3 linked regions of the Mytilus edulis genome follow. The protein of the gene in region 3 interacts with the protein of the main gene of each other region in a biochemical or structural test. Links are inferred from orthologs where the notes say so. Each region holds a gene or a part of one and is shown on either strand. Other genes may lie near its edges.

What was found.
Region 1: the proteins of peroxisomal biogenesis factor 19-like (region 3) and peroxisomal membrane protein PEX13-like form a complex in vitro, tested with the Homo sapiens proteins (2 studies listed by BioGRID and IntAct, with this or other methods). The link is inferred for Mytilus edulis from reciprocal best matches to the Homo sapiens genes PEX19 and PEX13.
Region 2: the proteins of peroxisomal biogenesis factor 19-like (region 3) and ATP-binding cassette sub-family D member 3-like form a complex in vitro, tested with the Homo sapiens proteins (4 studies listed by BioGRID and IntAct, with this or other methods). The link is inferred for Mytilus edulis from reciprocal best matches to the Homo sapiens genes PEX19 and ABCD3.

Annotation. Positions count from the first base shown.
Region 1 is NC_092344.1:115,001,156-115,012,732, forward strand, and holds the start of peroxisomal membrane protein PEX13-like, read right to left. Parts: upstream 5,699-11,577; 5' UTR 5,627-5,698; coding exon 5,544-5,626; intron 1-5,543. UniProt on the Homo sapiens protein: Component of the PEX13-PEX14 docking complex, a translocon channel that specifically mediates the import of peroxisomal cargo proteins bound to PEX5 receptor.
Region 2 is NC_092344.1:125,850,292-125,862,136, forward strand, and holds the start of ATP-binding cassette sub-family D member 3-like, read left to right. Parts: upstream 1-6,180; 5' UTR 6,181-6,215; coding exon 6,216-6,322; intron 6,323-11,845. UniProt on the Homo sapiens protein: Broad substrate specificity ATP-dependent transporter of the ATP-binding cassette (ABC) family that catalyzes the transport of long-chain fatty acids (LCFA)-CoA, dicarboxylic acids-CoA, long-branched-chain fatty acids-CoA and bile acids from the cytosol to the peroxisome lumen for beta-oxydation.
Region 3 is NC_092348.1:72,183,822-72,195,009, forward strand, and holds the start of peroxisomal biogenesis factor 19-like, read right to left. Parts: upstream 4,942-11,188; 5' UTR 4,711-4,941; coding exon 4,581-4,710; intron 2,950-4,580; coding exon 2,870-2,949; intron 1,832-2,869; coding exon 1,663-1,831; intron 1,329-1,662; coding exon 1,243-1,328; intron 461-1,242; coding exon 308-460; intron 1-307. Other genes in the region: leucine-rich repeat-containing protein 58-like, read left to right, coding at 5,089-5,564, 9,245-9,648, 10,092-10,279. UniProt on the Homo sapiens protein: Necessary for early peroxisomal biogenesis. Acts both as a cytosolic chaperone and as an import receptor for peroxisomal membrane proteins (PMPs).

The sequences.
Region 1 (11,577 bases), on a different chromosome or scaffold from region 3:
TTATAGTCAATCTAAAAGAACCATCAGTAATTTAGTGATCTATAAATTTTTGCTTACAGTTGCGGATCCAGAAATTTTCATAAGGGGGGCTCCCTCCAGTCATGCTTCAGTGATTCCCTATATAATCAACCATTTTTTTCCCACAAAAGGGGGGGAGGCTGGCCTCCTGAAAATCCTAAATCCCCCTCTGGCTTTCTAATGAGGTGTGTTCATGTATGGCCAGATATTGAATGGGCTGCTAACAGCTTTATACATGTACAACATCTATGATCAAAGTTAGCTGTTATAGAATTACTGTTCAGTGTACAGAAAAGAAGAGATATGGATGTGTTTTCTTTAAAAAGCTTCCCAATTATTTTCTGCATATAAAGGACTTCATTATCTGGCCATACCTGTACAAACCTCAATAGCAAGATAAACTCTAGACATTCTCAATAAATTTATACAAAGTAACACAGTGTACAATCACTACAATGCTGCACAGAAATTATAATATGGTTCTGTCTTTACTAGTAGTGAAGAAAAGAAAAAAATTCAATTGACTGAAAAAGGCTGCTATCAATATTTACATATAAACATACATAAACAACAAAGTGATAGGTACCCTCATGTAAATGGTTATAAAAGGTCATCAGCAATATATAAGCTCAATATTTCTGTCGTATTGTGATATGCTGGTATTTCTATTTTTTATTAAGTTGTCCTGTTTCTGATTCAACTATATCAAAAGCATATCAAACACCCACGTAAATACATTTAAATTCTCCCTCGCCCTGCTCATCCGAATATAAAGTATTTTATCTCTTAAATTCAATAGGCTATAAACAAAACAAACACAGATATAGGATTAGTTGCTCACAGTAACATATCATTTTCTCTTGCGATACAATATTTTATTTTACTTTCTTCTACATATTTCTTCGTTTCAAACCACAGACATATAAATCCATGACATATAATATTGTTTCTCATTTGCATCTTTTCTTTTTCCTCGGTTAATACCTCCAACGCCTGTATGTATGTAATAAACATAGCAGCAACTGTCAATTTACCAATGTGACCAACTTCAATTCAACGCAACTGCAAGCACCTTCGATAATATTACATTTAAATGCCAAACTTTATATAGTACCATTAAATCCCACCCGTAGAAACCGCCAAAACTTTCCTCGTGCATTATACACCCCACATCAAACTCTATAAATAGTACATACTGTTGCAGAACTAGTTATACTAGTTCACATCTATAAATAATTACCACTAATAGCAAACGGGAAAACACCAATTTCAAACGAAATAAAATATATATATTAACATACAAAATGAAAGTATAAATTTGGTGAGATTGGAGTGTAAAAAATAGAACTTTTGAATTAATATTTTCTTGTACCTAGTATTGTAAGAAATGATTAACAGTAATCCAATGATATCATGTAAAAAAAATACTGTGCCATCTTTCTGCTTAACAAAAAGCAGTTGCAAGTACAAAAATATATAACAATCTTAATAAAACACAGATCACTTCTCCTATTTTCATCTCCTATTGTTCAATCTATTTAAACTTTGGTTAGTTATATTGTACCATTCAATAAATACAATAACTATTGTTCTGTGTAGTTTATTCACTGGGACCTTTGAAATTCTAAGAGAAATCCATCATTCTTTATCAAATTTACTTGAGTAAAAGAAATATCTGTTAAATTAATACATGTTTTAATTAAAACAAATGCATGTGATGTTGTATTTTGAAAATGGTAAAATTCATCATTTAAGGGCAATTACTCCTATAAGAACAGTCTGACATTTTTGATGTAAAATAACAATAGGTAGCTACAATGTATATATAGAGCTTCAAATTTTGAGTAGTTTTGCAATGTCAGATTTTCTTTTATAATAGCAGATTTCAAAATACATGTAATAGGCAAAACTTGCAAGTTTGATCAAATTTGGTCTTTGAGTTTCAGAGGAGATTTTTTTTTATAAAAGTTAACAGAGGACGATGGATGCCAAGTGATTGGAAAAGCTTACTTGTCCTTTTAGGCCAGGTGAGCTTAAAATGTTATAATCTTCCTTGGTACAAAAATTTGGAAGTCAATCCTTTCATTTCTAACCATATGCTCTGCAGGGCGCAGCTTTATGCGACCTCAGAGGTCGAACTCTGAACGGTTGGGGCTAGTATGGACACAACATTGAAGCTGGATACAGCTCTGAATTTGGATTGTGATTAAATAGTTGACACAGCATAGGTTTCTGACACAGAATGAATGTGGGCTAATGAACTTAATTTTTTTTGGTGCTTTTGAGCAATTCACTATGCTGTTGAATATTAATCCTCTCAACAACAAAAAATTTGAAGAAATTTTCTTTTTAATTTCTGAAATCTGAACTGAGACAAATTGACCCCCCCCCCCCCAAATTTTTTGTCACCTCCCCCTTTCCATTCAAATTTCTAATGGAGTTTGCAACAACAATAACTACTCATTTAAATACATCATAAAATATCAAAATATAAAATGTCATTCAGTCATGGTTAAAATTAAAGTCATAAGAAACGAGTGACTGGTGAAAAATAATGTTCATCCAATTCTTGAACCAATGCATGTATAAATCATAAACTTAGTTCTCTGTGCACGAATTTATCATTTTTTACGCAAATATATCGTATAATCTGTCTGTTATGATTTAACAAATATGGCTACTCATTAAATGCCGTGTTTTGAAGCCGAAGTTTACCGATTGTCACCTTATAGTAAATAATCAACAAAAAGCATGGGTATTTAGCACGTGTTTAACATATACAATCAGGTAATTGTTAATTTTAATGACGGATTCATGCGTATTGCTATCACCGGATTTTTACGAGGAGGGTCAAGCTTAGGTCACTATGCATACGGAAAATATGTCGGCGAATTGCTTCCTGCCCTGGCAGCAAGCAATTACAAATATGTAAACTTCTTCTAAATGTGGACAAATTAAAGAATTTTCCTCAGAAAAAAGTATATGTACATAAGTTGTATAATGAAAACTATCCATTTAGTTTTAAAAAACATATGCATATTTTTTTTTAATTTGAGGTTTCATATGACTTTAATATTAATCAATAGTAACTTCTTAAAAAAATAAATGGGGAATGTGTCCAAATGGACACAGATGATGCCCCTGCTAGCATATACATGTTTGTAATGTTATAAAGGGAAATAACTCAAGAACTGTAAAAGTGAAACTGCCAAAAATTGAACTTAAACTGAGTTTAGAGGTAATAAGCATTAGATACCCATTTTATTAAATTTAGTTGAGACAAACTTAAGTTAAGAGAACAGAAACTAAATAATTCTTCAATTTTTCCATTTGTAAAGGGGCATAACCCTAGAATGGTAATCAAAGTGCTTGTAATCACTGCTTTAATTTATCAGTTGGTAGTAAAGTGAATAATGCATTGTATATTGTATATAGCAACTACTATTCTGAACAAAGAAAGATAACTCCAATTTTCAAAGAAGATTTCATAAAGCATTACATTTTAGTTTTAGGTGATTCAACAACCATTCTGGACAAAGAAAGACAACTCCAATTTATAGTCTTGAAACTAAAAAAATGCTTGTTTTTTCTTACGACTGTTTTCCCCATAACCCACAAAATATATCCCAACCTTCTATGTATGGTATTAAACATTGTGGTACAATTTCACATTGTGGTACAATTTCAGAACAATTGAAATACTTATACACAACTGTTTGTACTGACAATAGATAAATGCTTGTTTTAGGCCCCTTTGGGTCCCTAATTCCTTAACCTTAGGGACCATAACCCCCAAAATCAATCCCAAGCTACCTTTTGTGGTTATAAACATTGTGTTAAAATTTTACTGATTTCTATTAGCGTATACTAGTTATTAACCGGAAACCATTCGTTTTCGAACGACGCTGACGACTATGACGTGATACCAATATACGTCTGCAAAAATTTTCGGTCGTATAAAAAAGTTGATTGTAATTTCATGTTGGTCAAAACAATAGTAAGGGTAAATTCAATGTCAGTCTGGTCAAGTTTACTTACTCTTAAAATCATTTATTTAGTTTAATTTTCTTTTCTTATACATGTATTCATTATAAATAAAATGTTATTATAACCCTTGGTACCAAATCTGCAGTAACCCTTCCAAAAATGGAGACATTTTAGCATTTTTCATATTTGACAGGACAATCGTTAGGCCAAAACTAAAAAGTTTCACAGGTTGGGGATGGTCCTCATAAATGGGCACTATTACTAGTTATGGTTATTATATCCAAAATCAGGTATCGATCTTTATGCAGTGATAAAAAATTTTTTTTTTAATATTTTATCATAATGATGATCATGGTGCAAACATTCTTATAAATTCCATCATTAAAATTGGGATATAATGTACAGTACAACCTGTGTTATCCGACACACTGAGGGACCAGAAAATAATGTCTGATTAAGCAGGGTGTCGGAATACTCAGGTTTTTTCTACAATGATAGGCATATTATGGGACCATGAAAATGTGTCGATTAAAGCAGGATGTTGGAATACTCAGGTGTTGGATAAGGCAGGTTACATTTTATATGTTTTGAGGTATAATACCAATAAATGTCTAGAAAGGCTATTATATTTGACTTAAAGCTGTTAGGCTCTAAATTAAGACATCATAAATATATTTGGACTAGATTAAACCCAGAACTCGTTAATTATTCCTGCCTCTTCTGTCGCTGTGCCTACATAGGTTAACCTACATGTTCATGTCCAAGAACAAAATTGAAGTTCCTTTTTTTTTTAATAATTATTCAGTTTATTGCACAATTGGTTGTTTACAAACCCCTAAAAGGTACAACTATCTCAAATAGGTTTATCCCTGTGTGTGAATTATCAAATGAACCAGGGGATTCACAAGATAAACTTGAAGTTCCTACCTTGTTGCTGAAGGCCTAGGAATATATCATCAAAGTAACAAATTAATGAGAATGGAATCTTCCACAACCCACAGATTGTATATAGTCTATACAAGAGGGTAGTTATTCCCTTTACCGTCAGGGGTTGAATTGATTAAAATATTAACCTGATTCGTCAGAGGTTTATTTTACCAGCATTTTTGGAAACGTGATGCGTTAAAATCAGTAGATTTTTTTATCGTCTAAAAGAAAGTGTACATTTTATCATCATGAACCAAAAATTACCGTTAACTTCATTTGGCAAGAATTTTTACCATTATTCATTATGAAGGTATCTACATTACAACCCTAATTTCTGGCCTAAACAAATCCTTGGTCTTGCACAACACTCAACAGAAGGGCGGAGGCTGAGTAATTCTAAATTGTAATTTTTAAGTTTTAAAGGAAAAACAATAATGGGATCATAAACATCACAATGTCAGAATATTTAACATGTTAAATGTATAGAAGAAGAAGATGATATACGAAAATGTTTGTGACTCGATTGATAGATAAGAGTTGTTTTTCGGTCAAAATGTAGGATGCAAGATTGTACAACAAATGTTTGAAATAACAGTTAGACATGGACTTACCCTGACATATTATTTAAAGGAATACTTCCAGCATTTTGTTGATTTACACCTGCAATTTCCCAGGGTTTAGGAGGTGCTGCCATTCCCCCATGGGTTGAAACGGGTGGTTGAGATGATAATTTTGGGACTGTGAAATGTAAAAATAAGTCAATGACGGATATGAAGTGAAACAAATCCGGAAAATAAAACGATCTAAATACCAGAAAATATATATATATTATGCCAATTTTTTTTTCGATTCAGACAAATACGTTCAAATTAATTTATTTTACTTTAAGAGTCCCTATAATTAAGAGTTAGGGTTCATTCTTCAATCTTGGTTATGGTTAGGATAGCTGGTTAGGGAATGTTCTAGGCACAGGCACTTGTCTCAGAAATTGTTTTCCCTATAGAAGAAAAAGAAGAAGATGCTTTATTTCAATAAAATGGGCTCACAAGGAGCATAATATAATATCATTGTAATATAATATTCTTTTACAAATATAATAAACAACACATAGTTACAAACACAAATAAGAAACAACAGTTTTCGCATATTAGTATATATATAAAACCTTTGTGTCAGGCACACCTCTTGAAAGTAACTCTGTGAGTAGCCTATATACCTTGTTATATAGAGGTATATAGGGAAAACAAATTTCCTGTGGTTCTGGCAAGGAATTGTGTAAATATACAATTCCTTGTTCTAGGTTAGTGTTAGATTTTAGAGTTAGATGTGTATTAGTTTTAGGTATGGGTTAGGTACGACGTAACATAAAAGATTGCACTAAACCGATTAAAGCAGTAACATATTCAACAATAGTAAGACCTTCAGTTGAATATGCTTGCACGGTATGAGACCCTACAAAACAGGCTAAAGTAAAAACAATCGAACAAGTACAGAAAGAGCAGCCAGATTCGTAAACAACAACTACACAGACCGCACACCTGGCTGTGTAACAAAAACGGTAACATCTTTAAAATGGAAAATTAAGCTTTGAAGACCGCAGGAAACAAAATAGAATATGTATGCTGTTTAAAATTCCACATGATCTAATAGACATAGATCGGCACCAATATCTGACGCCAAACGATAGCCGGACCAGAGGTAAAAACCGCTTCTTTCAAGAAAGGGCTACAACATACTCCTTGGACCAATCCTTTCTCAGGCCTAGGACCATCAGAGACACTTGAACCAACTGCCAACATCAGCGACATCAGATGACACAGTTGAAGGAATCAGAGCTGCCCTAAAGGCATGCTCTGCTTAAATAACACAGTAATATCCTGTACATAATTTTAATTGTGTATATATGTTACAGTGAATTTGTATAATCAGGGGTTATGTAGAATCCTTAAAATTTTCAGGGATTATGAATAATCACTGGTTAGTTTAGGGATTATATATAATCACTAAAACTTTCAGGGATTATGTATAATCACTAGAAAAAACGTCAGGGATTATACAGAATAACTGAAATGATATAATGATGGAAAATTGTATGTTGGAAAAGGAAAATAAAATAAAGTAAACTTAGAGAAATAAACTAATAAATAAATAAAATGGAATTTTATTGCATTGCTTAAGCTCTAAGACAAAGTAGGTGACGTAAGGTTAAGTTATAAATAGTTTCGTCTTTTTGTAAATAATATAGTTAATCTCATTTCTAGAGTTCTTTTGATCATAGCTATTAATCTGACGTTGAGAAATAAGTTAAATAAACTGTCATCTTTTAAAAGAATAAAAATGTTTGTAATTTGCCGTAGGAAAATAAACCTAAAGTGTTTCTATTGTCCAATTAATAATTCTGTAAAGTAAGCAAAGATTTTGATAATTTTGATAATCCTTTAATTGCTTTTACGTAACTAAATACAACATATGTCAATCATATAAATCTATAACATAAAAAGAGAACAGTTGACCAATAAAACGTACCTTTAGAAAATTCAAAATTGACGCTAAAATTTCATAGGTGAATAAAATATACTGAACGACTTTAGAAACGCAACACTCATTTTGTTGATTTTTTTACCAAATCTTGTTTGATTCTCTTATTACTTCTTTTCGTGCTTATCATACTTCTTTCTCATTACAAAAAATGAAAATCTGACTTAACTGTGGTTCTTGAACTGCAAACATGAAAACATAAACGTGCTGCAACCATTCTGTATGACTTCAGAAACTCCTCTTACTGTCCTTCCGACAACGATACAAGTAGACAAGATTTGTTGCTGGCCATCAATGAACAGACCAACGAGTAGTGACAATGAAACATCAACCGAAGTTGATTTCGCAACGTCATTTGCCAGACATGTTTACGGCCGCAACGTCAAATGCTATTCAAATTGCCGAGTGACATTGAGTACAGATTCATGCCATAAATGTTTCCCATCAACTGAATTGCCAAAGAATCGACTGAAGAAAACCTTTAAAGCCATCAAGTTCCAACCGCATAACAGCCAAAACCAATAAATGGGTTGAACAAATGCAAAATCAGAAGGTGTAAATCAGTACCCAAAACATGTCAGACAGAATTTGTTGACCTTTCTGACAATCATTTTGGCGTTTGTAACAGGCAGTCATCGCTTTTGACGGTGACACATTCATTAAAAAATAACACAAAATTAATCTAGTGTTGCGTTTCTAAAGTCGGTCAGTATAATTCCAATCAGCACGTGATGTTGGGGTTAAAAAGGGAAGACCGCAACCTCCCAACATCACAATATCACACTTAAATGTAGATAACTGTTTGGAATAAATAATTGAAACATCATTGTATTTTATTCACCAGGTATGTAAATTGTTAAAGTATAAACCATTTTCAAATGAATTTTAAAGTAAGAATTTATCTTCTGATTTAATAACTTTGATATTTAAAACTTAACTTAAATTTATAAAAGATTTTCATTAATATATATAAGTTAAAACTAAGTTTACTATTTAAATCACAGATCACAATATCACACTTAAATGTAGATAACTGTTTGGAATAAATAATTGCTGAAACATCATTGTATTTTATTCACCAGCGCCAGGCCTCGAAAGTACAAGTGTCCGAGATGAGGGACACGCCAGAAGAAGGCATAACATAGACCTGAATATGAGCGAGCTAGTATTCCCCAGATTCTCCGAAAGAAGTTAGAATACCCGTATAAGCGAGCGAGGATAGTCCCCAAGTGAAAGATGGCAGTCCCTCGATTTTAATATACTTAACGTTGTGGAGGGAAAGGGGAGACAACCTGACAGAACAGCGATTCTTCCCACTTTTCCTGCATTACAATGATACTAAAATATATAACATATTGAAATATCTTAAAAGTTTACCTTAATATATCATAATAATAACCTTACTATTGTTAAACGTTAGGCATAATTTATTAATATGAAAGACACAAAAATATTGAAATGTTATACACAAAATAATCAAATGATAAGCACAATATATATATATATAATTGAATGATGAGCAAAATATATATGGAATAATTGACGACTTTATTAGTAATAATAATATCAAGCGAGCCCACACGGGCAGGTTGATGAAGTCAGTATGAAAATATTAAATTGCATAATGATTATTCTTTTTATCGTATTGTTTTAGCAATTGTTTTTAGGTTGAGAATATGAAATAATTTAAAATGAAACTGTCATTAAAACTATTTTTATGCGTACAGTTGTTTTAATAAATGTTAATGTTATGTATAATATTTTAATATTAAACATTTTATTTACAAACTAAATTTGAATGGCATCGACTATTACACATTTGCCCTGATTCTCTTCAGGCATATCTATCAAATTCACATCTGTTTTTACTACGATATCAACATTAAAAAAAAACCTTGTCCCCCAAATCAAATGATATTTTACGGCACTTCTCAGAGAAAAAGTGTTTTCAGCACAAACATCTGAAGGTACATATTGTACCAATGAAGGGTAATCAGCAACCTCAAACTGATTTCTTGTATTAAGGATCCGAGCAGGATTCCATGCTATATAGCAAGGCGATATCCTTCTTCAGCCTTTTCGTGAATATTGACCATTAGTTTTTTGGGATCTCCCTTTCCTGGAACCAAGGATTTGTATAGTAAGACTATATAAATCCTTGCTGGAACCACTAGTGTAATTGGTTTGAGATATCATCTTTGAAGCTTTTGATTATTGAGAATCCCTGAAATCATATTAGGGAATTTGTAGAATACTAATTAAAATTATCAGTGATTATCTAAAATCACTGGTCATTTTCAGGGAATCTATATAATCACTAATGTTTTTAGTGATTCTATATAATCCCTGAAAAATCAGGGATTCTACATAATCCCTGATTATACAAATTCACTGTAACATATATAGAGAGAACGTTTTAACCTGTAAATAGCCAAGAGAAAACTTTCTGTGTTGTCGACATTGCGTATAGTTTTCGCGGTACCTCATACATTCAAATATTGAATTCGGTTCCTTACCTGGAAGAAGAAGGGTAATGACATATATTTACGGTTATGTTAGCCTAAAAAATGTTTATTTTGGGAAGTGATCATTTTTTAATATCTAAACAAAGTTTTGGCTGTGAAAATTATGTCTGAGAATCTCTTTGGTTATGAACTTCGATTTTAGAAGCGCTTACACCTGCTCATTACTTGAAATTGAATTTGGTCGATTTTTCAAATATTCCACCAAATGAAATTTTAAGAATTTGCAAATACTTCTCTGGCTGTGTTGAAGATGAAATTCATTTTGTAACTTCATTATACCGGTATGTCCCTTAAAATAAAGTATGTCCTTCGACTTGTTCTTGTTCTATAATACAATATTGTATGATTTGACAGCACAAGTACAAAATAATAAAAAAAAAACTGTCGATAATATAATAAATGGTCAATATGCATAGATTAAAATACGGTGTAAAAACACATTTTACTATCTACATCTACAATTCCATGGGGGACTCCATTAACCACAGGAACTTTCTCCGATGATTCTCCATCACCGATGACTTGTTGGGTACGTTTAGATAGGATACACTTGTGTAATTGTGTAATTGTCCATACAATGCTGTAGTTTGTTTAGCAGGCATATGTGTGGCTGTGGGACACGATCAAAGACCTTAGAAAAATCAAGGATAACCATACCTTCTCTGTCTAGAGCTGGTGCAAGCTCATGACAAAGCTGGATGAGTTAATTGAGTTTCACAACTTCATCTTGCTTTGAAACCATGCCAAGAAAAATATACATATGGTAAAAATAGAAATCCACAAAATAAAGGAAGATTTCAAACTTTCAAAACAACATTCAAAAACATCAGACAGATATGTTGAGTCTTTGTCATAGGCATTTAAAACAGACATAGTTTAAGATGCATGATTTTCTTTTAATTTGTTGTTAGTGGCTTTGAACTAGCTGTCAGTAACTGAGAATGCTCTCAGATCTGTACTTACTGTCTTTTTGTTGTTGTAGTATTTGTATTTGTATCCATCTGATGAGTATAAATATAAAAAAGGAGTGTGGTATGATTGCCAATGAGACAACTCTCCACAAGAGATCAGAATAACAACAACAGGTCACCGTACGGCCTTCAACATTGAGCAAAGCCCATACCGCATAGTCAGCTTTAAAAGGCCGCCTTTTTAACTGATTTTGTTTAGTTCGTTCTCATGTTGTACTTTTACATAATTAATATACTAGGTACTGTAGGCTTTTTGGAAAATTATTCGGTCTGCATTTGAAAAAATGAGAGAGTTATTGACATATTATGAGAAATGGACATATGAGAAATTATTTTTTTTTAAAAGCCACCGACCTCCCAGAGAGGTGTTTCAATGCTTCTTTAGTGTACAGAGAGCGTAAGATCTTCACCTTACGAGACATTGGTTAACGATGAATAGTATTAGGACTGAAAATTTAAACAAAGCGTTTGAAACTTATAGCTTAAGAGTGAGGGCCAATATAGCATTTATGTACGAAAAGGGTAGCTGAATGGTCTTGTAAACGTACTAACACAGTTAGTTTTCCATGTTTAGTACATATGACCCCCCCCCCCCCCCCCCCCCCCCCCCC
Region 2 (11,845 bases), on a different chromosome or scaffold from region 3:
TTAAAATAAAATAAAAATGGAAATGAGACGCATACATAATTTAATGTCAAACGAGTAGTAAACTACGTACTTTATACAGGTTGTTATTTTGTTCTTACGAAAATTGAGACTTGCTTGATGGTCTTTAAATTAAAAATAAAATTTGTTTTTAAAACACTTGTTATGAATGATATTTTACTAAATACGAAAAACATGCATAAATGAATTGTCCAGTGTGTGAAGACTTTCATTGTAATAGTTATATTTGTTTTATCAAGAATCTCTATGTAATGTTAATTTTATGCATATGTCTGATGACGGTAAATTCATATTTTTATACGTACTTTTATACTGCCATATTCTGCAATGAAAAGAAGATATATTTTATATTGCTAATTCAAGTGTACATAATGTATATACATTTTAGATAATAATTAATAATAAGATAGTCTCTTTTAAAACTCTTTTGAGAGTATCTGAAGAGGTGAGACTTGAATAATAATGTCTTGTCCTTTCTTGTCTTGTCTTTTATGTATATGTCACTGTAAAGAATGAACCTGCGTACAGGTAGATAATGCTACACCGTTGGTTAACGCCCTACCTAAAAAAAAAGTCATCCGGATTTCTCCACAAATTGTTCACAATATACGAACAAGCACATAAAGATAAAGATTTAAAGAGGAATTGGAAAGTCAATAATTTTGAAGGGTATTTGCTCGGGCAGATTGGATTTTGGAAGTTTTCAAGAGACGTTTCACAAGAAAGTGACAAATGAAGAAAACAAAAAAAGTTCGTGGACTAATTTTAGATTAAATCTGCACAATTCGTACAGTGTTGAAAGTTTGACGAGCATTAAAAACAAAGAAAAAAGTGAGGCTCGCCAAGCTGTTCTTAGGTTTCGTAGCAATATATACGAATCAGTGGCAGATCCAGGGGTAGGGGATGTTCCGGCGGTTGAAATCCACCTTTCTGAAAATTAGTTGCATGTTGAATTGGAACATATCATGGTTAAGCATGTTCGCTCTGGGTTCCTTCGCACTACTTTTGTAAAAAAAAAACCAACAACATTTGAACAGATTTCTGAGGATAATAAATATATTTTTGTAAAACAGAAGAAAATAATTTTCATTTCTTTGTTGCATGTTCATTTTTAAATTGAAATCCTTAGATATATGTTTATGATATATTTGAATTAAAGAACAACGAAGGGAATACTTTTGATAAAAAAAACCAATAACAACGTACGTTCACACATGTTGGCGTATGAATACACAACGTCAGAGTGGGTGTGTCACCATAAACATTGACAACATTGCAAATAAAAGTAATACTTTTAACCAATCAGAAGACAGTTTATACACCAAACTTATTTATATTGATATACATGATATTTGCACAGCTATGTTTCAGCGCTAACGTATCACTCAAAATGAAGTAAAAGAAGTTATTTTTGTACCAGATTTTTCAACTGAAATTTATAATATAGTGTACCAAGTCTTCTTTGCTATCTTATAGAACTTTGGAATATGATGATATGTGGATGTTTTATGTCCGGCTATCCTGTCTGGAAATCGATTCAATGTTGACGGGCGATGTGTGTGGTGGTGTGCGCAGTAGGTCTGGGTCGTTGATGTCAAACCCTTTATCAAAGTCGATCCAACTGCGCTTGCCTCTTTCATTTTTTGAGGTGTATGTTGTATCAATCATATATGTTATGTGTATATGCCCCCCTGGGGACCTAATTTGGAAAATAAAATTTATCTTATCTTATCTTATCTGTAGAATACCAGGCGATGGCAGGTCTTTTTGGGGTTGTAAGGACTGGTGACAATATCCTTATTGACTACAACCCCAACTGGTTCCCCTTTGTACTTTGTTGGTGTAAGTACTTGACCAAGTACGGTGTCTCTTGCCTCGGTTTGCGTGATGTGGTATACGCTGGTGGTTTGTTGATTTTGAGTAGCAGGTACAACGGCTGTTTTGTTAGCCATCCACTGGGCGTAACGGTTAGCGTGGTGTCTCCTGGTAGATGGTGGCTTGTTCCTGCTTTACAGGGCCGGCTCATGTTTCCTAGATGTAGTATCTGGTTCTTTGACCTAGCTTGATGCAAGTGAGCTGGACCGATACTTGGTCAGAATTGGCGGTGAATTTCCCGGTGATTCCGTCTCTTTTCCATCCAACTTCATTGTTACCAATAAGGCTCTCAGTTCATTAGGTAGTTCCATAATGTCTGTCAATGATGTTTACGATTCTAACTTTGGAATATTACATTTATACTTTACTATATACCAAATTGACATAAGTCAGGGATAGTAACTCATCTTTAAAAAAAAGGTGAAGCTGTAAAGATCGTAGACATTACTCTGTAATTATAATTACTCCAACATTATCTAAACTCATTGAAGCAGTTTTAAAGATCAGAATTAAATCTGACATTATAAAATATCAAAATCCATGACAACTTGGTTTACTAGAAGAACAGCACAATTAAACTTCTTTCATTATACAGAAGAATTTCATAAATAATATTGATCAATATGTATTCTGATGCTGAAGCAAAGTCGGCATGTGATGCAGCAAAACATACAGAGCTAATAAGAAGATAATATCAACTGAAAATTTTAAAACAATCTGTTTTGATAATTAATAATTTATATAATAATGCTGTTTCTTGTGTACAATGAAATATTCAAATATCAGACACTTTTAGAATAGAGCAAGGCGTAAGACGAGGTTAACACTTAGTGTAATCTTGCGTCAATTTCATATACATACACTTTTAGACATTAACTGATATATGGAGGGAAAATTAGATAATTTTCATGTTTTGCTCCAACTTGGACAGAAGATATAGCCATACTAAGCAACATGCGTATGACACACAGTTCTTGATTAATATGACCTTTAATTGACTTCAGAGGTCGAGAGGGATATTTACTACAACCAGCCAAAAAATGGGTCATACAGTCTAAATCTCGTCACCATGAGGAATTTAACATTTGTTTTAAACATTTAAAAGTTGGGAACCAGTTATTAACATATTGTAAGTTTTACAAAAAAATCGAATTGGAAAAATATTGAAGTTGTGGTAATGAAAATGGAAGAAGACTGTTAACTTAATTTGAAGTAAGCTCACACAACCTCAACATTGAGAAGTGAAGATATCGTAAATGTCATTTATGTAAATTGTCTGTTAAAGATGAAATCCAATTCTAAATTCAATGCACATGCTTAACCATATTTTGATCATTCAAATAATAATAATAGTAATTTTAGTAAACTTTTTGATGAAAACCAATTAATTTGGCTTATAAACAACGAAGACACAGAAATCATTTATATAATTCCTTAACTTTAAAAAAAAAATTCTTAAGAAAGAGATTCACTATTATTGACTAAAGAGCTTTTCCCCTTTATTATTATTTATATTTAGCTGCGAAAATGTAGATCTTAAGGTCCTTTTGATGATTTTTTATATTTGAGAACCATAAACAAACAAAAAATCAAAGGACAATAGAGCTGCGTTTTCGCAGCTATATTTCTATTATGCATGCATTTTTTTTATGTTTTAAGCAGAATCCATATTGCTGGTTTTAATTAACAGGAACTCGTCTCAGAAAATAAATCTCTCTGACAAGTGTCTGTGTTTTAATCACCAGTATAAAGATTTTGTTTGTGTTGAGGTATGAATTAACCAGACTGAGTCAGCTGTCCAGTCAATATTTTGTTACCAGTTCTTTTCTTTAAGGGACATAAGCATTCAAATTCACCAATTTGACTAAAGATTTCATATTTGATTTATAACATACTAAAATATAAATCCAAATTATGTATATAAACTTGAAAAATTAAATAATTAACTATGCATGTAGTCGGTAATATGTTTCAGCATTTCGCAGTTTATATTTTAGTCTGGACACCATCTAGTTAACCATCGAGGTGACCTCCGAAGACTGTCAACAGTCTTATAACCCGGTATAAAAATAAATTTAGATGTAAATATATATTGAACACCTTTTCAATGAATTTTTTTTCTATGTCTGTTTGATTTCATATTGAAGATTGGTGGCCCAGTGGTCTAGCGCGTCGGATACAGTGCAGACGATTTGGTGTCACGATATCACAGTAGCATAAGTTCGAATTCTGGCGAGAGAAGAACAAGAAATTTGCGAAAGCAAATTTACAGATCTAACATTGTTGGGCTGATGTTTAGACGAGTTATATATATATATACAGAATATACCCAGCCATGTTAACTTGTATCACCATCACTGCCGGCGATCCGATTGATAAATCTGTTGTAGAGTTGTCACTGGTTCAGACGTACTTAATTTATAATTATAATTATTTTTGTGGCTGTATCTTGCATTAATTTGTAGGATCCTTTACAATAGATATTTCAGCTGATCTGTAACAATTCCATCTTCATGCCTAAAATATCATGTACTGTATTACGACGCTAGATAAAAACTGACGAGGAAAGGTCACACCCGGCCACCGAAAGCTTTATTATTGTGAGGCCAATGTGGTCAAGTGGTCTAGCGCGTCGGGTACAGTGCAGGCGATTTGGTGTCACGATATCTTAGTAGCATGAGTTCGAATCCCGGCGAGGGAAGAACAAAAAATTTGCGATAGCAAACTTACAGATCTAACATTGTTGAACTGATGTTTAGACGAGTTGTATATACGCAATGTACACAGCCATGTATCACCATCACTGCTGGTGATCCGATGGATAAATCTGTTGTAGAGTTGTCACTTGTTCAGACGTACTTATAATTATTTCTGTGACTGTATCTTGCATTAATATGTAGGATCCTTTACAATAGATATTTCATCTGATCTGTAACCCTTCCATCTTCATGCCTTATATATCATGTACTGTATTACGACGCTAGATAAAAACTGACGAGGAAAGGTAACACCCGGCCATCGAAAGTTTTAATATTATGAAGCCAAGGGGGTCGAGTAGTCTAGCGCTGCAGGCGATTTGGTGTCACGATATCTCAGCAGCATGAGTTCGAATCCCGACGAGGGAAGAAAAAATCGACTCTGACTGGCTGACTGACTAAACTTCGGAAATACATACCGAAATATGATACAACATATATACCCATCTGTACTGAAAATGCAAAATATGCTGTCATAGTGTCACTGTCAGTTATTGTATAATCTAGCTATATTTATCAAGAAGCTATCTACCTTCATTTAGAAAGATGCATGTATCTTACAAGTTTTATGATCTTTAGAAAGTACACTTTTATTATTAGTTACCTATCTATTCTGTCATTTATTGTATTTGACTTGTAATTTGTCCTTATGTAACACATATATTGTGTGAGTGTAATTAAAGAATTGAATTTGTTTACTTACTTTTTTTATAGGTCCGAGTAGTATTTTTTTCGATCAGCCTAGTCTTTATTAAACATTTGTCTAAATTGCCTACTCGTACTCGGTTTCATCAATTAGCGACAAGAAGAATTTTGGCGACAAGAAGCGAAAAGAATAATATCAGTTAGCAACAAAAATCATCACACATTTTTGAAACCTAACTGTATTTATCTATGATAATCAAATATTACGTTCTTTAAATCCGGTTGTATTATGATATTAATTTTTACTTGAGTTTTAGAACCAGAACAATTATATACATGTATTCATCTTATGATTCTTTCAACACTTTCTTTGTTTGATATATAATAGGCTGACTGCATTCAAAATGCATTATTTGTGCATCATTGCCCAGAAAATACAGACATAATTTGTGAAATACAATGAAATCAAACAAGAAGAAAACGTAATCAAACTGAATATTCAGTTGCATATCATTTCATTTTGTGTATTGCCTCCTCAAACGATTATGCCTATGCATAGTTTAATATCGTTTGAAGACAATCAAAACACGAAGACAAATGTTTAATTTCTTGTATCAATATAAAAAAAATCTTGCTATAGACCTATCACTTTACTATTGCCCCTATATATATATATATATATAAAAACAACATTTAATACATATTTTTTTAATTTATTCATTTTGAATAAAGTAATTTTAATAAGATTTTATTTTAATTTCTTGTCGCTATAAATAGTCTTCTTGACGCTTCTTGTTGCTAAGTTATTCTTCTTGTCCTTGGGTGTCTCAAAGCTGGTCCGAAAGGTATTGGTCCCAGTTAGCTTTGGTCCGAGTTGACATCTATCTTTAACTTTATTACCGGAAGTTTATCTTGTGAAATATGGCAGCGCTCAGCAAGCTCACGCCGCAGAGGTCGGCGATCTTAACCGTAGCTGCAGTAGCTTCTTACTTTTTGTATAAAAAAATTGGTTTGAAACGAAAGAACAGGTATAAAATATATGTCCTTCAAACGTTTTCAAAAATCTAAGTCTGTTATGTTTAATAATCACGGAAAAAAGCAGTGTCAAAGTCCAATGTTTTGAAAGGTCAGAAAGTAGAACGTTTATATTTCAGTCAAAATATCCATAGAATCCACAGCCATCACCACGAATGCCTAGAGACTCTACATAAAGAAACAAATGAGATGCTTCATGATTAATTACACCTTTTCTGTATTTCAAAATCTGTGCCAGTTGTCTTGACCTGATAATACACCTTATCGTTTTCCCAGCTGACACAAATTATAATGTGTCCGCTTGAACTATTGATGTAATACAACAATCACTGTTCATTGTGACGTCAAATATTTCGTATAAGAATGTCCAAATTTTACGGTAACCTGTGTGATATCCAGTAATGGTGGACAAATAGCAAAGATGTATGAAAACAACTCCCTCTAGTTCATTGAAAATGGACATTACACATTATAACATGCTTAACCCCAAAACATATAAATGAACTAAAATTAAAAACACGCTAGACTAGCAAAGGCCTGAGGCTCTTGACTTGGGAGAGGCAAAAAAATGTGTTGGGTTAGATATGTTTTGTGAAATCTCAAACCTCCCCTATACATGTACCTCTAGCCAATTTAGAATAAACAAACACTCTACAATACACACATTAAAACTCAGATTACAAAAAAAAGTCTTGAGTCCTGCGTCAGAATAGGATACAAAAGAAACTAAAAAAAATGATAATGATACATAAATCAACAAAGGACTACATCAAATGAAAATCAAGCACGAGCCCTCCTGTAAGCTATAGGGTTTTATTATCGTACCATCATAAAAGATACAAGAAGAACATTTGTGTTTATTTCCTTGTTAATCAATATTAATACCAAAATATGCCAACTTTAATGACCCAACTACAGGTATATCCCTTCTATTGTAACTACATGTATATCCCTTCTAAAATAAATCTGTTTAAAGGTTTGGTTAGCTTTGGAGGTAAAAGTCAATATTTATAATCAACCTAAAAAAATTGTGTGGTCGTATATCATTTTTGTATATATTGGAATCAGGTCGATTTACTTAAGTATTATAAGTAAATAGAAATTTATGAAAATTATACACAAGGTTTATGATTACAAAAGGAAGGTTAGGATTGATTTTTTGGGAGGTTATACAATGTATAGTCCCACCAGTTTAGGTATTAGGAGCCAAAGAGGGGCCCAAATAAGCATTTTTCTAGTTTCCAGATAACAACTTGTGGAATGTTGTATGGATCATTGTCGATCTCTCTGAAATTATACCACAAAGAGATGGTAAGAATTGGCTTTGGCTGTTGAGGAATTACGGGCAAAAAGGGGGAAAAGCCAGGATTTGAAAAGGGCAGGGTGCTAGTCAGAAAAGGGGAAATTTTATGCATAAATGTCATTGAAAAAGGGCAAATAATTAAGCCTCATATAACTCAGACACTTTGGTATAATCAAGTTTCAATTAAATTAGAGTAAAAATATTCAATACTTTAGACAAAATCCTCTCTGTATGATATGATCATTATATGTACACTTTCATTTACACCTGATTTAAGTTGACTGTTTCTTACCCTGAAATTGGCTGAATCAGTGTTCACTGCAGGTTTCAAAAGTAAAATCTCTTTATAATATTTGTATTCAAATTATTACTTCAATGCACTTGATAAATCATTTAATGGAAGTAAAGATTTAAAAAATTGTTTTTAAAATGATTTATTACATAAATGTTTAAAGGTTTAAAACATATTTAAAAATAATGTTCTGATATGCATTAGCACTTAGCATGCTTAATTGGTTATAAATTAAAAAATAATTTCGAAAAAGAATATAAACTTCATGAATTTGAGAAGAATATTGTGAAAGGTGATAAAAAAGGGGAAGTAACAATTTTTTTGTCAAACGTTTTTGAACTATACAAATTATGTATGACCTAAAACTAAGGTAAATGTACTTGGTTTAATTAAGTCTCCCAAACAAAGTTTGGAGACTTATTGTTTTTGCTCAGTTCTTATTATTTTTATTCTTCTTCTTCTTCCTCCTCTTCTTCCTCTTCCGCCACTTTAAAAAATGAACTTGTCCGCAGCGTTTCTCCCAAATCACTTGTCAGATTGACTTAGGATTTCATAGAATGGTAGACTAATATGTCTAGGTGAGCCTTCAATCTTTCGTTTGTTCATTGGGATCTATTAAGGGGTATTTTGGGGGGTAGAAAGGAGGGAGGGGTTTACTATAGAACCCTATTGGATTTTATTTTCCAAAATTTTCAAATGAATATAACTTGAAAACTGTAAGTGATAGATACATGCAGTCTTCAGAAATGATTAAAGGACAATAAAACCAATCACATGAAATATAGAGGGAGTCCCTTGGGGGTCATCCCCACCCCGTTCAATTTGAGAATATGCTTTTGCCCTCATGAGACCTGTTGGTGACCCTTTGCTGTTGTTTTTTATTTGGTCGGGTTGTTGTCTCTTTGACACATTCCCCATTTCCATTCTCAATTTTATTTTATCTTGTAAACGGTCCATATCCCCACCCCTAAACCATATACATGTATATTCTTGAATGGTACAATAAAACAAATCAAAAGAAATCAAAAGAAATTAAAGGGAAGTCCCCAGGGGTCATCCCCACCCTGTTCAATTTGAGAATGTGCTATAATCTTGTATACGGTCCAGATCCCCACCCTAAACCATATATATTCTTGTAGGGGACAATAAAACAAATGAAATGAAATAAAAGGGAAGTCCCTAGGGGCTCACCCCACCCCCTCTTGTTTGAAAACTTGTAAACGGTATGGGACAATAAAACAAATCAAATGTAATGTAGGTAAAGTCCCTGAGGGTCACCACCACCCCCTCCTGTTTGAATACTTGTAAATGGTGGAGATCTCCACCCGTAAGCCATATATATTCTTGTATGGGATAAAAAATCAAATCAAATGAACATGGGACCATATGAATGGTGTTTTTTGGGAGCTTTGTTTGGGAGACTTCATAACAGCATCCTGTTACAATTACTTCTTGTTAACAATGTATTTGACACCAAAGCTGTTAAGTGAAGCCATGCACTTAATGGGTCACTTAATTGGACACAGCTAGCTGAACTTCCTGTTCATGAAAGAATTACGAATTTGCCAGTATTTAAAAGGCAAAAATGCCGAGATTTTTGCCATAAAAACAGCATGTTGTAGGGGAAACGACAGAAAAAAGGCAAGGGCATCAATAAAGAACAGCAGGCGCTGTGCCCTGTTCAAACTTTGTAGCTAGAACACTGATTACAAATGATTTGCCCTCATGGGACTTACAATACCTTCTACATTCAAACGTAAAGTCCCCATCTTTGCTAGCCAAGGGTTATGATTAGTCCCCTTCTCTATACCCTTGGCAGATAAAGCCAACATTTTTATGCCCCAACTGCGAAAGTAGAGGGGCATTATGCTTTCTGGTCTGTGCCTCTTTTCGTCCATCCCTTCGTTTGTCCATTCGTCCCTCTTCAGGTTAAAGTTTTTGGTCAAGGTAGTTTTTGATGAAGTTGAAGTCCAATCAACTTGAAACTTAGTACACATGTTCTCTATGATATGATCTTTCTAATTTTAATGCCAAATTAAAGTATTGATCCCAATTTCACGGTCCACTGAACATGTAAAATGATAGTGCGAGTGGGGCATCGGTGTACTATGGACACATTCTTGTTGATTATATGCTGCGCCATATATCAGAAGATAAAAGTCATGCACATTCCAACATCATCATTCTTTACCAATGGCAGCAAGAACATTAAAATGGTCACCAAATACCATTATTCTTTACATGTGGCAATTACTTATTTATATTTTCTCATTTTTACATGGTCATCTTAAGGATGCCTTTTGATTTGCATGATACAGCTGGTTACAACTGACTGAACTGCGACCAATAGACAACAATGATAGAAATCAATACATCATTTGAATTGTTTTACATTGTCTTATCAGGGCCTTTTATAGCTGACTATGCGGTATGGGCTTTGCTCATTGTTGAAGGCCTTACAGTGACCTATAGTTGTTAATGTCTGTGTCATTTTGGTCTCTTGTGGACAGTTGTCTCATTCGAAATCATACCACATCTTCTTTTTTATATTGTGTCTCTGAAATTCTATCTTAATCCACCATGAACATGATGAATGGGGAGAAGGGGACTGGATTTTAACCCTTGGCTTGTGAAGATAAACAGACCCAGGCATTTGCAATTTAGACAAAATGCATTATAAACTAAATCATGTTATATTTTAAAAATTTTCGAACTGCAATTAAGACTGATTGAGTCAAGACTCACTGCTTTATACATGTACATAATTTTTTTTGTATAAAGTAGTTAAGTTAATCTTAATTGTAGTTGGAATGTAAATAAATTTTGTTGAGTATTCAATCATACCAGAACACACCCACGAAATCGGGCATATACAGCTTGTGAACTGTTGTAGGATTATTTTTTGTAAAAGATATTAGGTATGAGGAATTTCATAAAAGGTATCAAAAGCCTTCTCCCTTTTTCCAAAGTCCGATATTTGTTTCCTTTCTGTTAAATTCAATTATTTTCATGTTTCTGGCCTCAGACCACAATTATTCTTCTCCTTTGCTACAATGCATCTTTTTGTAAAAGTCAAATTAAATCAAAAATTTGCACCGCTTCAAACATGAAATAAATGTAACTGCTTTAGCCTTATATATATATATAAACCATTATTAGTCTAATAAAATATGCTTCTAGAACAATCCATCAGTGCTTTTTTCTTTTAAGAGACTTATTAATATGCCAATGGTAGGATGTGAATCTTGTATAAATAATTAAGACCGACTTTTGAGGGGTGGTCGGAGGGTCCCAAAATCTCGGGCTTAAAAACATGAAATTCCGAGATACAGAATTTAGAGAATTTCATATCCCGAAATCCCGAAATCAAAAAATATATTCCCGGATCCCATTAGGATCAATCCCCAAATCCCGAGCTTAAAAACACCCGATCCTGACGTCCCAAAAAAGGTCCTGCCTCCCTCTAATCTCTACCCTACTTTCATTTTTGCCAAATCACTACTTTCAATTTCAACATTAAATTGGTATGCGTTATTATTGGGCATTATGTTTTCAAGTCTGTGCATTCGTGCGTTCATCCTTCCATCCGTCTGTCCCGCTTCAGGTTAAAGTTTTTGGTCAAAGTAGTTTTTGATGAAGTTGAAGTCCAATCAACTAGGAACTTAGTAAATATAGTGCCGATGTGGCATCCGTGTACTATGGACACATTCTTGTTTCCATATGTTTTACTTATTTTAATATATATGCAACGGGTATGACCCTTTAAATAGTAAACATTTCAAAGAAAACAGAATACAGCGAGTCTCTATATATTAAAGTAGTATATAATAGCAATTTACATGTAGATAAACGCGAAAAATATTTGTCCTCTCCAAGGAGGTATAATAGTTGTGGTTCTTGCGATCTAAACACCATGATATG
Region 3 (11,188 bases):
TAGAATTTACATGAGATACCCTAATTGAACACATCTTGCACAATTTATAAAAAAGTGTATTTACTTTAGCTAAAAAAGAATAATTTTATACCTTCTGTACCATATGAAAATGCAAACACTACTGTTAACCAACTTATTTTCTAGAATAATCCATTTTGCATTTAGTCCTTACTAGCAATTGATGCACAAACTATTTTTGCATTTTTTTTAATTTGTACATGTATTATGCATTTTTTATACATTTTTTTGGTGTTTTAGTTTTTAATTGGCAAAAGTCATGAAAATTAGTTGGTTTTAAGATTGATACCTTTTTTGATAATTCTTTTAATGATGGATATAAGATTTCTTTAGATAACAATGACTTCATCATCCCCTGCATCATTGGCATAAAACCTTCCTGTCCATCTTCCATACCCATACTAGTGAAGGCTTTCATCAAATCATCTTCGGACATTTGACCCTGCAATAGATATACTTATAATTTTAAATTACCTCACTCTAGTCATGACGAAATAGTTCAGAGGAAAATGAAAATAAAGAAATAAAAACCTCCAACACACCTCATTTTTTTCAAAAATCTTTATTATTTTAGTTCTAACGAGTATAAACCAATAAAACCCCTTTCACTTCTGTAATGTATGTTGTACACAAAAGTATCTTCTTCCTAAACTTAATTTATCATAAAAAAAAATAGAACAGTGTAGCTTGGGCTAAAGATTTAATAAAGTTCAACAAAATTAAATTCTCACAAACTAGAAAGAACAGAGTTAAGACATCTGTGTTTTTTTGTCTTTTTTAAGTTATAGGCTGATTTAGACAGTCAATGACAGTAGAAGGCAGATATTGCATTTTAGTATAGATTGCTTTTATTGATAACATTAATAATTGACAAAAAAGGTAGACCTTAAATATTGTGAAGAAGAGGAATATTTGGCCAGCTACTGATTTTTACAGAAAGCAATAGGACAAACCATTTTCCCATATTTTCTTCATTTTACCTATGATTTTTCGGTGTTATCACTTTTATTCTCATGCTACTTAAGAAGTCAATTAGAGTGAGACCATGATAACTTCATAAGCCAAGGTCATTGCCTAAGAAAATAGCAATAAATAGACAATAAACAGACTATCTTTGGTATTTCAACTGGAGGAATTTATCTTTCTTTGATTGTAGCTGAGTAATTCCCTCTCATTTTCAGAACTATAGATAGTCTATAATTAATCAGAGTATTTTCGACATACCTGTAATTCTTCTGAATTCTCGTCAAGACTAGACATAGTTTGTGCCAAATTTTTAGCAAATTCTTGCTGTGCTTCTTGTGAATCACCTAACAAAATTAATAATTTTAACATTGTAAATAATGCATTTATACCTTTTCTTAAAATATAATTTAGTAAAATCAACAAACATTAAATATGGTCCAATGTTATAATAACTATTATAGGGGTCAACAGGGGGATAAAATGAAAACATTCAAAACTAAACTTGAATTCGATTATTTTTTTTTTTTTTTAATTTGTTAGCATCTTAATATGATATTGGAAAACTCAAATCATTAAAATATGTATAAAACATATACAGTCTTTTCATTATCACCTTCCCACCCTCCTTGTTGTCTAAATAATAGACTTGTCACTATAATTTACATAATAAATCAATACCTGCACTGCCAGCAGCAGCTGCTAGTTTTTCTATTTGTGAAACTAATTCAGGATCTTCACCAACCATACTTTTCATGGCCTCTTCAAATTGTTTTGCCATATCGTCTGAGAACTCATCAGCAAACATGTCCGACAAAGGATCCCCTGATGCTTCTGATTTCTGTGATGCCTGAAACACATGATTATTTCAAAATGGTATAAAGATATCAATTTATTGAGCCCATAACTTTTTACTTTTGATTTCTAAAAAACAAAATAGTGTGTGTATTTATCATCATGATCATTTGACCTACATGTATATTATTCATGAAATACAGGCAAGTATTGTATGTCTGTACACTTTCAAATTCATTGACTTTGACATATTATGTAAAGGTATTGTTGTTGGACATACAATGTACAGATATTAATGGTGGGCATACAATGAATAGATATTGATGGGCATACAATGAATAGATATTGATGGTGGGCATACAATGTATAGATATTGATGGCTGGCATTCAATGTACAGATATTGATGGTGGGCATACAATGTACAGATATTGAATGATGGTTGGCATACAATGTACAGATATTGATGGTGGGCATACAATGTATAGATATTGATGGTGGGCATACAATGTACAGATATTGATGGTGGGCATACAATGTACAGATATTGATGGTTGGCATACAATGTACAGATATTGATGGTGGGCATAAAATGTAGATATTGATGGTGGGCATACAATGTACAGATATTGATGGTGGGCATACAATGTACAGATATTGATGGCTGGCATTCAATGCACAGATATTGATTGTGGGTATACAGTGTAGATATTGATGGTGGGCATACAATGTACAGATATTGATGGTGGGCATACAATGTACAGATATTGATGGTGGGTATACAGTGTAGATATTGATGGTGGGCATACAATGTACAGATATTGATGGTGGGTATACAGTGTAGATATTGATGGTGGGCATACAATGTACAGATATTGATGGTGGGCATACAATGCACAAATATTGATGGTGTGCATTCAATGATGCATACGATGGTGGGCATACAATGTCGATTATGATAAGACATAAATTTGCAGCATAGACATGAAAGAGATGTCAGCAAGTCTAAAGAAAACATGCATATCATGTACATTTACTTTACCGGTACATATATACAAATGATATAACATAACAAAAAGCTGTTTTTTAGCTTACCGAATCATTATTCTTGGCACTACTCTGATCCTCTTTTGTTGCTGTTTTCGGCTTTACTTCATCAAAATCTTTCAAAGCACCTAAAAAAAAATTAAAGATTGATTTAAAAATGAATAGGATACACTATTTATAAATAAAATTAATTATTATACAAAAAATATATTTCAACAGAATGCAAACTTGTAGATAACAAAAATTCAAAATGTAGGCTATAACATACATGTATTCTTATACATGTACATTGTATTAATATATGTTGAAGAAAATTAGCATTACTGTATATTTGTTGTTGTAATAATTGAATTCAACTTCAAATGAAAAGGTTGAAAATTCTTTGACATGTATGAAAACAATGCAAAATCCTATTTATGAATAAAAGAATTCTTCAAAAGAAAAAATAATAACTATACTATAACTGTATATAATGTTATCTTTTACAAAACAATTTCAATTATAATAATGTCATACAATGTAATTATCTATATTTTAAATGTAATGTTGTCATAATTATTTTGTACAAATAAGTTATTTGAATGGATAAACCTGTTTCACAGAACAAATGATATTGGAACAGAACTATTGATTTGTACCTGGAACAACCAAGGACAGAACACATATTGGCAAAAACCATTTTCGGAATCGTGCACTTTTTTGTCAATTTCATACATCACAGTAAGAACCCATAATAAATGTTCAATGACTTTGTTAACAACCTTTTACCTTGGGTCTACCTGTTTAACTCATCTATAAAAAACAACTTGAGTTTGGTATAGGAATGGAATGACATCAAATCAATTACTGTTGATTAGTAAATTTAATAACTGTGATAACCATTTTTTGTTGTGTTAAACAAGTTTAATCTTTTGATTAAGGTAATAATAATTATTCTGTTCATTAAAATTACTGGTCCCTTAATGGAGGTTAGGCGTGGTCTTCATAACCAAGCAATAGAGATCATTAAACACCTTCTTTTCAATATACTATAATATATACAAGGGTAGGAATGCCCTTTACCGTCAGACGTTAAACTGTTATTTTAAGCTACCGTTCGAGTCAAATTGGTTAAAATTTCAGTGATTTGTTAAAATCTTCTTATCGTGATTTGAAAAAGGTTTCGAATAATTATCTTTACCATCATTTTAGGACAAAAATTAGCGTGATTTGACAAAATCAGCCGTTATTTTTTTACTGTCTAAAGGAAAGTGTTTTAAATTTTATCATCTTGCGCCAAACATTACTGACAAGAATTTTTACCATTAATCGTCATGAAAGGACCCCTATTACCACCCTCATGCACATGATACAATTAGCAAGGTTAATACACCTTATCGCTTATCCCGGCCGCTTGAACTTTTGACGAATACAACAATCACTTTTCCATTGTGGCGTCAGATATTTTGTTTTATGATGTCAAAATTCCATGGGAACATGTGTGATATCCAGTAATGGCGACAAATAGCGATAAGGTATACAGAATGATCTCCGAGCCTTAAACTATTATCATCATTCCTGATTATTGTTTTAAATATTTAGAGTGATGTTAGCTATAAATGGAATTTACTATGTAGTGTTAACTCTATATTAAATAAAATGTTATCGTTAATAATCATGTGGGGTACACAAATATATCCACCCTCTTGCACCAGTCTTGATTAGCTCAATAAAAATATCTTGTGTATTGGTATAATTTCTGTTAATCGATGACTCATACTGTCTAACAATGAATCTAATTCTTCATCCTGCTTATCGGTTTGTATATTCTGTTTGATTTCTTTCTTTGTATTGGTTAAACTGGTCTCTTCAATAGCTTCTTTCGAATGTTTACTCTCATCACCCTCCATCACGCCTTTTCCCCCTGATGTACTTGTAAAAAATAAATATCCCTTACGTTATCGTAAAAAAATATTTCATTTATTTTCCCCTAAATGTGTTTCTTTCAAAATTCGAGTAATAACCTAATTTCAAATAAGTCTTTATTTTTTTAAACAATAATCTATAAACTCAAAGGAGGAATCGGTCTTGAAATGGACAAAGCTTATAACGACCTTCACCTCTGTTATTTTCCTAAATGTTGAACCATTGAATAATAGCCTGTACCAGGTGACACAATTTAGAACAAACATCACTCGTCACTTTCGTGTCATGTGCGTTGCCACTTACAGTAAAGAGAGATACAGAATATGGAATATATTTCATGACTAAAGATCATAATTGATTAAATGGCTGAATATTTGTCTGAAACAACTTCTTGTTCTGAGAATGAATATTTAAGTGATGGAGCTGAGGATTTGTCATATGGTGACCTAACAGCCATACCAGAATATTTATTCGATCGTTCGAAGTCGATCAGAGCATTATGCCTACACCATAACAATATAGAAGTGTTACCTAAGTCTATAAATGTGTTTGCTAACCTGATCACTTTGGATATAAGTAACAACAACTGTCACAAACTAGATGATGCTGTGGTTTATTTAAAACAATTAAGAACTTTGATAGCCAAGAACAACAACTTAGAATGTAAAACTATACCAAAGGATTTTAGTAAACTACGATCTCTAGAGGTGCTGAACTTTTCTGCCAATTCATTTACAGAGTTACCTCCACAGTTTACTGAACTACCTCGATTGAAAGCATTATACTTAGGTGGCAATGCCATCTCATCAATTACATCGTTGATTAGGCATATGTCTAGGTAAAAACAAATTAACGAGTATACTTTATAGTCATTATAGTACTTTGTGTGCTTTTTTTAACACGTTGAGTTTTAAAGATTGATGTTTAAAGTACAATATTCTGTAATTGAAAGTGTCGATGTGGATCATGAATGAAGCAGACCTGGGGTAAACATGGTAAACAGATTGGGAACAACCCCTCAAATGAGGAATAATTGACCCCTCATTGTAATATGACTATCCGATCCTTTTTATACGACCGCAAAAATTTTTGCGGTCGTATATTGGTATCACGTCCTCGGCGTCGTCCGAAGACGGATGGTTTCCGGATAATAACTTTAGTATACGTAAATAGAAATCAATAAAATTTTAACATAAATGAGTAATGTTTATAACCACTAAAGGAAGTTTGGAATTGATTTTGGGGGTTATGGTCCCAAAGGTTTAGGAATTAGGGGCCCAAAACAAGCATTTATCTAGTGTCAGGACAATAAGTTGTGTACAAGTAGAAGTATTTCAATTGTTCTGAAATTATACCACAATGTTTAATACTGTAAGTAGAAGGTTGGGATATATTTAAAGGGTTACAGGGCAAACAGTCTAGGAATAAAGTGCCAAAAACAAGCATTTTTGTAGTTTCAAGACAATAAATTGGAGTTATCTTTCTTTGTCCAGAATGATTGTTGAATTACCTAAAACCAATGCTTTATGAAATCTTCTTTGAAAATTGGATTTATCTTTCTTTGTCCAGAATAATAGTTGAATCAAATTAAATCAATGCTATATTATACAATATACAATGCAATATTCACTTTTACTACCAACTGATATATTAAAGTAATCTTTACCATTCAGTGATTACAAGCACTTTGATTACCATTCTAGGGTTATGCCCCTTTACAAATGGAAAAATTGAAGATTTTTTTCGTTTCTGTTCTCTTAACATAAGTTTGTCTCAACTAAATTTAATGAAATGTGTATATAATGCTTATTACATGTACCTCTAAACTCAGTTTTAAATAAGTTCAATTTTTGGCAGCTTCACTTTTACAGTTCTTGAGTTATGTCCCTTTATAACATTATATGCTAGCTGGGGCATCATCTGTGTCCCTTTGGACACATTCCCCATTTATTTTTATATAAGTTATTATTAATTAATATTAATTTTAACCATGACTGTATGACATTTTATATTTTAATACTTTATGATGCATTTAAATGAGTAGTTACATGTATTGTTGCAAACTCCATTAGCAAATTTGAATTGAGATCATTTTTGGAGTAAGGGAAAGGGGGAGGTGAAAAAAAATTGGGGGGGGGGGGGTCAATTTTTCATTTCAGATTTCAGAAATTAAAAAGAAAATTTCTTCAAATATTTTTTTTTTAAGAGGAGCATAGTGAATTGCTCAAAAGCAAAAAAAATTAAAAAATTTAAGTTCATTAGACCACCCACATTTATTCTGTGTCAGAAACCTATGCTGTGTCAACTATTTAATCACAATCCAAATTCAGAGCTGTATCCAGCTTGAATGTTGTGTCCATACTTGCCCCAACTGTTCAGGGTTCAACCTCTGCGGTCGTATAAAGCTGTGCCCTGCGGAGCATCTGATTAACGAATGTGACATACCAACATGACCAAATTAGACTATTTACATTGATTATCATTTACCAGATTCGTCCCTCATAATGGCCTCATTTCATGCATTTGGGGGCTTGTTTGAGTTCCTAACATGGTAAACATGGTAAATATATGAAATAACATGACAAAACAATTAGTTATCATTTTAGAAATGTATTAAGGGAATCTTAATTTTTGACAATGGGCCGGGGCAGTCATTAAACAGTGAGAAGAAAATACAAAAAATGAAATAGCAATGCCTTGATTTAGGGTTAAATCGAATAAAAATTACAGAACATGTATATTGAAACTTTCATCTGACTTTGCTATAAAAAGCTGATAAACAGGCACAGCTGATACTATTTTAATGCATCTTTGGACTGACTGGTTCAGAAAATGATATTGATATACACCCTTTATCGTATTTAGCATGTTAAGTAGAAATTTAATTCTATGCTGAAAATATATTGTGTGAATGAGTGTATACACTGTATGTAAGCTAGGATACACATGCAATTGAGTATATATATATTATCAGAGATAAATGAGATAACCTTGTATTAGGAGTACATGTAAAGATACACGTGCAATTGAGTATTATATCTATACATCATGAGATAACCTTGTATTACATGTACATGTATATCTTTTGTAATTACCACCTAACTGTACTTAAAGCAACATACAAGTGTAATCTCATAACAAATTAAACTTGGTCATGTTGGTGGAAGAGAAAACTTTCCATTTTTTCCAGTTTTTTTAACTTATATAACATTTTTCATTCTTTCTAAACAAATTTTTAAGTTTTTTTTCTCAATGACCACAACAGGGGCTCAGGCATGTCAAGAAAACAATCAAATTCAAAAATTTAATGTTCAATAAACAAATCCTAAATTACAACTTACTTATTAAGTTAAACATGTTAAAGGGGACTTACATGTAAGCAGATACTCAAAGTTCAATAATAAAAAACCAATAACCCAAAGACAACAGACACATTATATATATATAATTATGACATGACTCCCATGATCAAAAGAAAAAGTGGAACAGATAAATTTTGTAAGACTACACAAATTATAAAGATTGATAAATACATGCAGTTGATCACCCTAACACATTTTTCCATTGTCATGATTGTCATGCATGATTAGTTACACTTACATGTATCTTGTTGCTTATGTCATGCATGTATGTCATGTATGTATAGATTATTAAGTTGTACATGTTCATTTACATGTAGCTACAGTAATAGTATACTATTATTAGGTATTTTTTTTAAGGGAATTATTTTTGCATAATTTTCATGGTTTAAAAATTATCAGGAAAAATCTTCTTACATGTCTAACTCTTACAAGTATGTAAATTTGAAATCTTTTAAGAACATCAGATTTAGGCACAGGAAAATACAACTGTAAATCTTAATGAGAACAAGGAATTTGGCCTTACAAATTTTGAATTTTAAAAATGGACCACTTTACAATAGTCATGATAGTCTATGACAGTTTTATACAAAGTACCATACAAAAATGGTAATTGGTGGATTGCAAGTTACAATGTAACATGGTTAAAAAAAATATAAGAAGTCTCATTCTGTGTAATTATCAACTAGGAAAGAAGTGCTGTGAATTGTAATTTTAAAAGCAACCCTCACAACAAAATATATGTATGCACTTAAACTATTAAAGCACGTCTACATCAATTTATATTTATGCCCCATTTATGGGCATTATGTTTTCTGGTCTGTGCCTCTGTCTGTCCCACTACAGGTTAAAGATTTTGGTTGAGGTAGTTTTTGATGAAGTCTAATCAACTTGAAACTTAGTAAACATGTTCCCTATAATATTATCTTTCTAATTTTAATGCCAAGTTAGAGATTTTACCCCATTTTCAGTCCACAGAACATAGAAAATGATAGTGCGGATGGGGCATCCGTGTACTTGGGACACATTCTTGTTTAAATATGCATTGTATTTTGTATAATTCTGACATGAAAGTTTTCAATTATGCCTTGCATAACTGAAAGAAAAATGTTTGAACAACCAGTGTATTGTCTGGTATTCAAATTTATTTATTTTTCAGATTAGAAATCCTTTATATGGGTGGAAACAGACTTACAGACATTCCAGCCGAGATAGGACAACTATATAACCTGACATCACTAGTCCTGTGTGATAACCAACTCCAAAGTCTTCCACCTACCTTAGTCAACCTTCATCGTTTGAAGTCCTTGAGTCTTCACAACAACAAATTATCTACCCTTCCTTCAGAAATCGTAGCACTTAATTTAATAGAATTAAGTCTAAGAAACAATCCATTAGTTGTTAAATTCGTTCAAGATTTAACCTATGAAGTGCCTTCTCTGCTAGAACTTTCTGCTAGAGTTGTTAAGATTGAAAAAGTAAAATATGACCAGGAAGATCTGCCAAAAAACCTACTCAATTATCTTGATTCCTGTCGGAGATGTGTTAATCCTGAATGCAAAGGTAAAGAATTTATACAACAAAATTTTATTTAAGGATTTGTTTATAATACTGTAAAGTCAGAAATTATCGTGATGCGTTTAATTAATTTGAGAAATATTGGATGAATATCAAGGAAACAGCAACACAACAATCAAAATGAACATCTATTGGTCAACACACATGTACATTATTCAACGACGAGAAACAAGACGCCATACCATAATACATGTATGACAACATTTAAATCATTTTGAGTCTTAAAATTATTTCTAGGGAGCAACTAACCACAGTTAAACCTTAATAGATCATGTGAAACATATATATACATGTATATATATATACATGTTAATACAAGGAAATGTGTTTACTTAATTTTTTCATATAAATTATTTGATACTTGAACTACATATATTATCATTTACTTGTAAGTTTTAATATTATATATTGTTATCTTTTTACTTTAGGTGTATATTTTGCTTCACGAGTGGAAAATGTGAAATTTGTTGACTTCTGTGGAAAGTACAGACTGCCGTTACTTCAGTATTTGTGCTCACCACAGTGTCGAACCTCGCCATATGTAACGAACAGTGACACGGACACAGATGACGAGGATACAGCTAGAGCCAAGCTCAAGAAAGTATTGTTGGGTTGATGGCCATGATCAAGAGAGTATGACTGGGCTGATGAGATTCTTTGGAGATTTCTTGTTGTGATTCTCAATGCCAAAAGAAGATTTAGCGTATTAACAACGAACCATTGAGGCTATTTGTAAAGAGTGTATTTTGTTTTGAAGTGCACCTAAAACTTTAGGCACTCTATCCTCTAAACCATTTATACACAATGTATCCACATTGATATATTTATTAAAACATTTATTTAAAATATGTGAAGTGCTACATTTTATTATTAGTTGAAAATTAATGATTGAAATAGTCCTCAGAATTATTCTTTATTTATGAGAGACATCTCTCAGCAGTAAAAGACAAGTTATTAGATCACAAGAGATTAGATAAAAGAAACTATTATAATTTTTTAGCCTATTTGTCTGTTAGAACTGGTTCTCAGACTTTCAAGTTCTTCATTTTACATAAAACACTCACCATGATGTGTACAAGATGCCTCTGTTTTTGTTTCGATATAGAGCAATTCTGAGTTATCAAGAGGAATTTCAAAGAAGTCATCTGCTTTCTTTTGGAAAAATGATATTCATGTATACTCTCTACTAGATTTATTTTGTATGATTGTTTTTTTATCATGTTTCAATGTATGGATAGAAATAATAGTAGTTGTAATATGGAAGATTTTAAAGTAGAATATATGTCAATGAGACAGCAACCCATCATCACAAGAAACCAAAAGACATCCAGCAATAGACATGTGTCTACAGAATTTTTTATTAACTCTATATCGCCCTAGTCTATACAAGTTGAAAATTCAGGTATTAGCTTTTTTTTTACTGTATGTGATCAAAGCAGTTAGAAGTAAACATGGTCTGTAGACACTTGGCCATTGTTGGAAACCTTATGTTGACCTCTAGTCCTCTAGATGTTTATTTATTTTT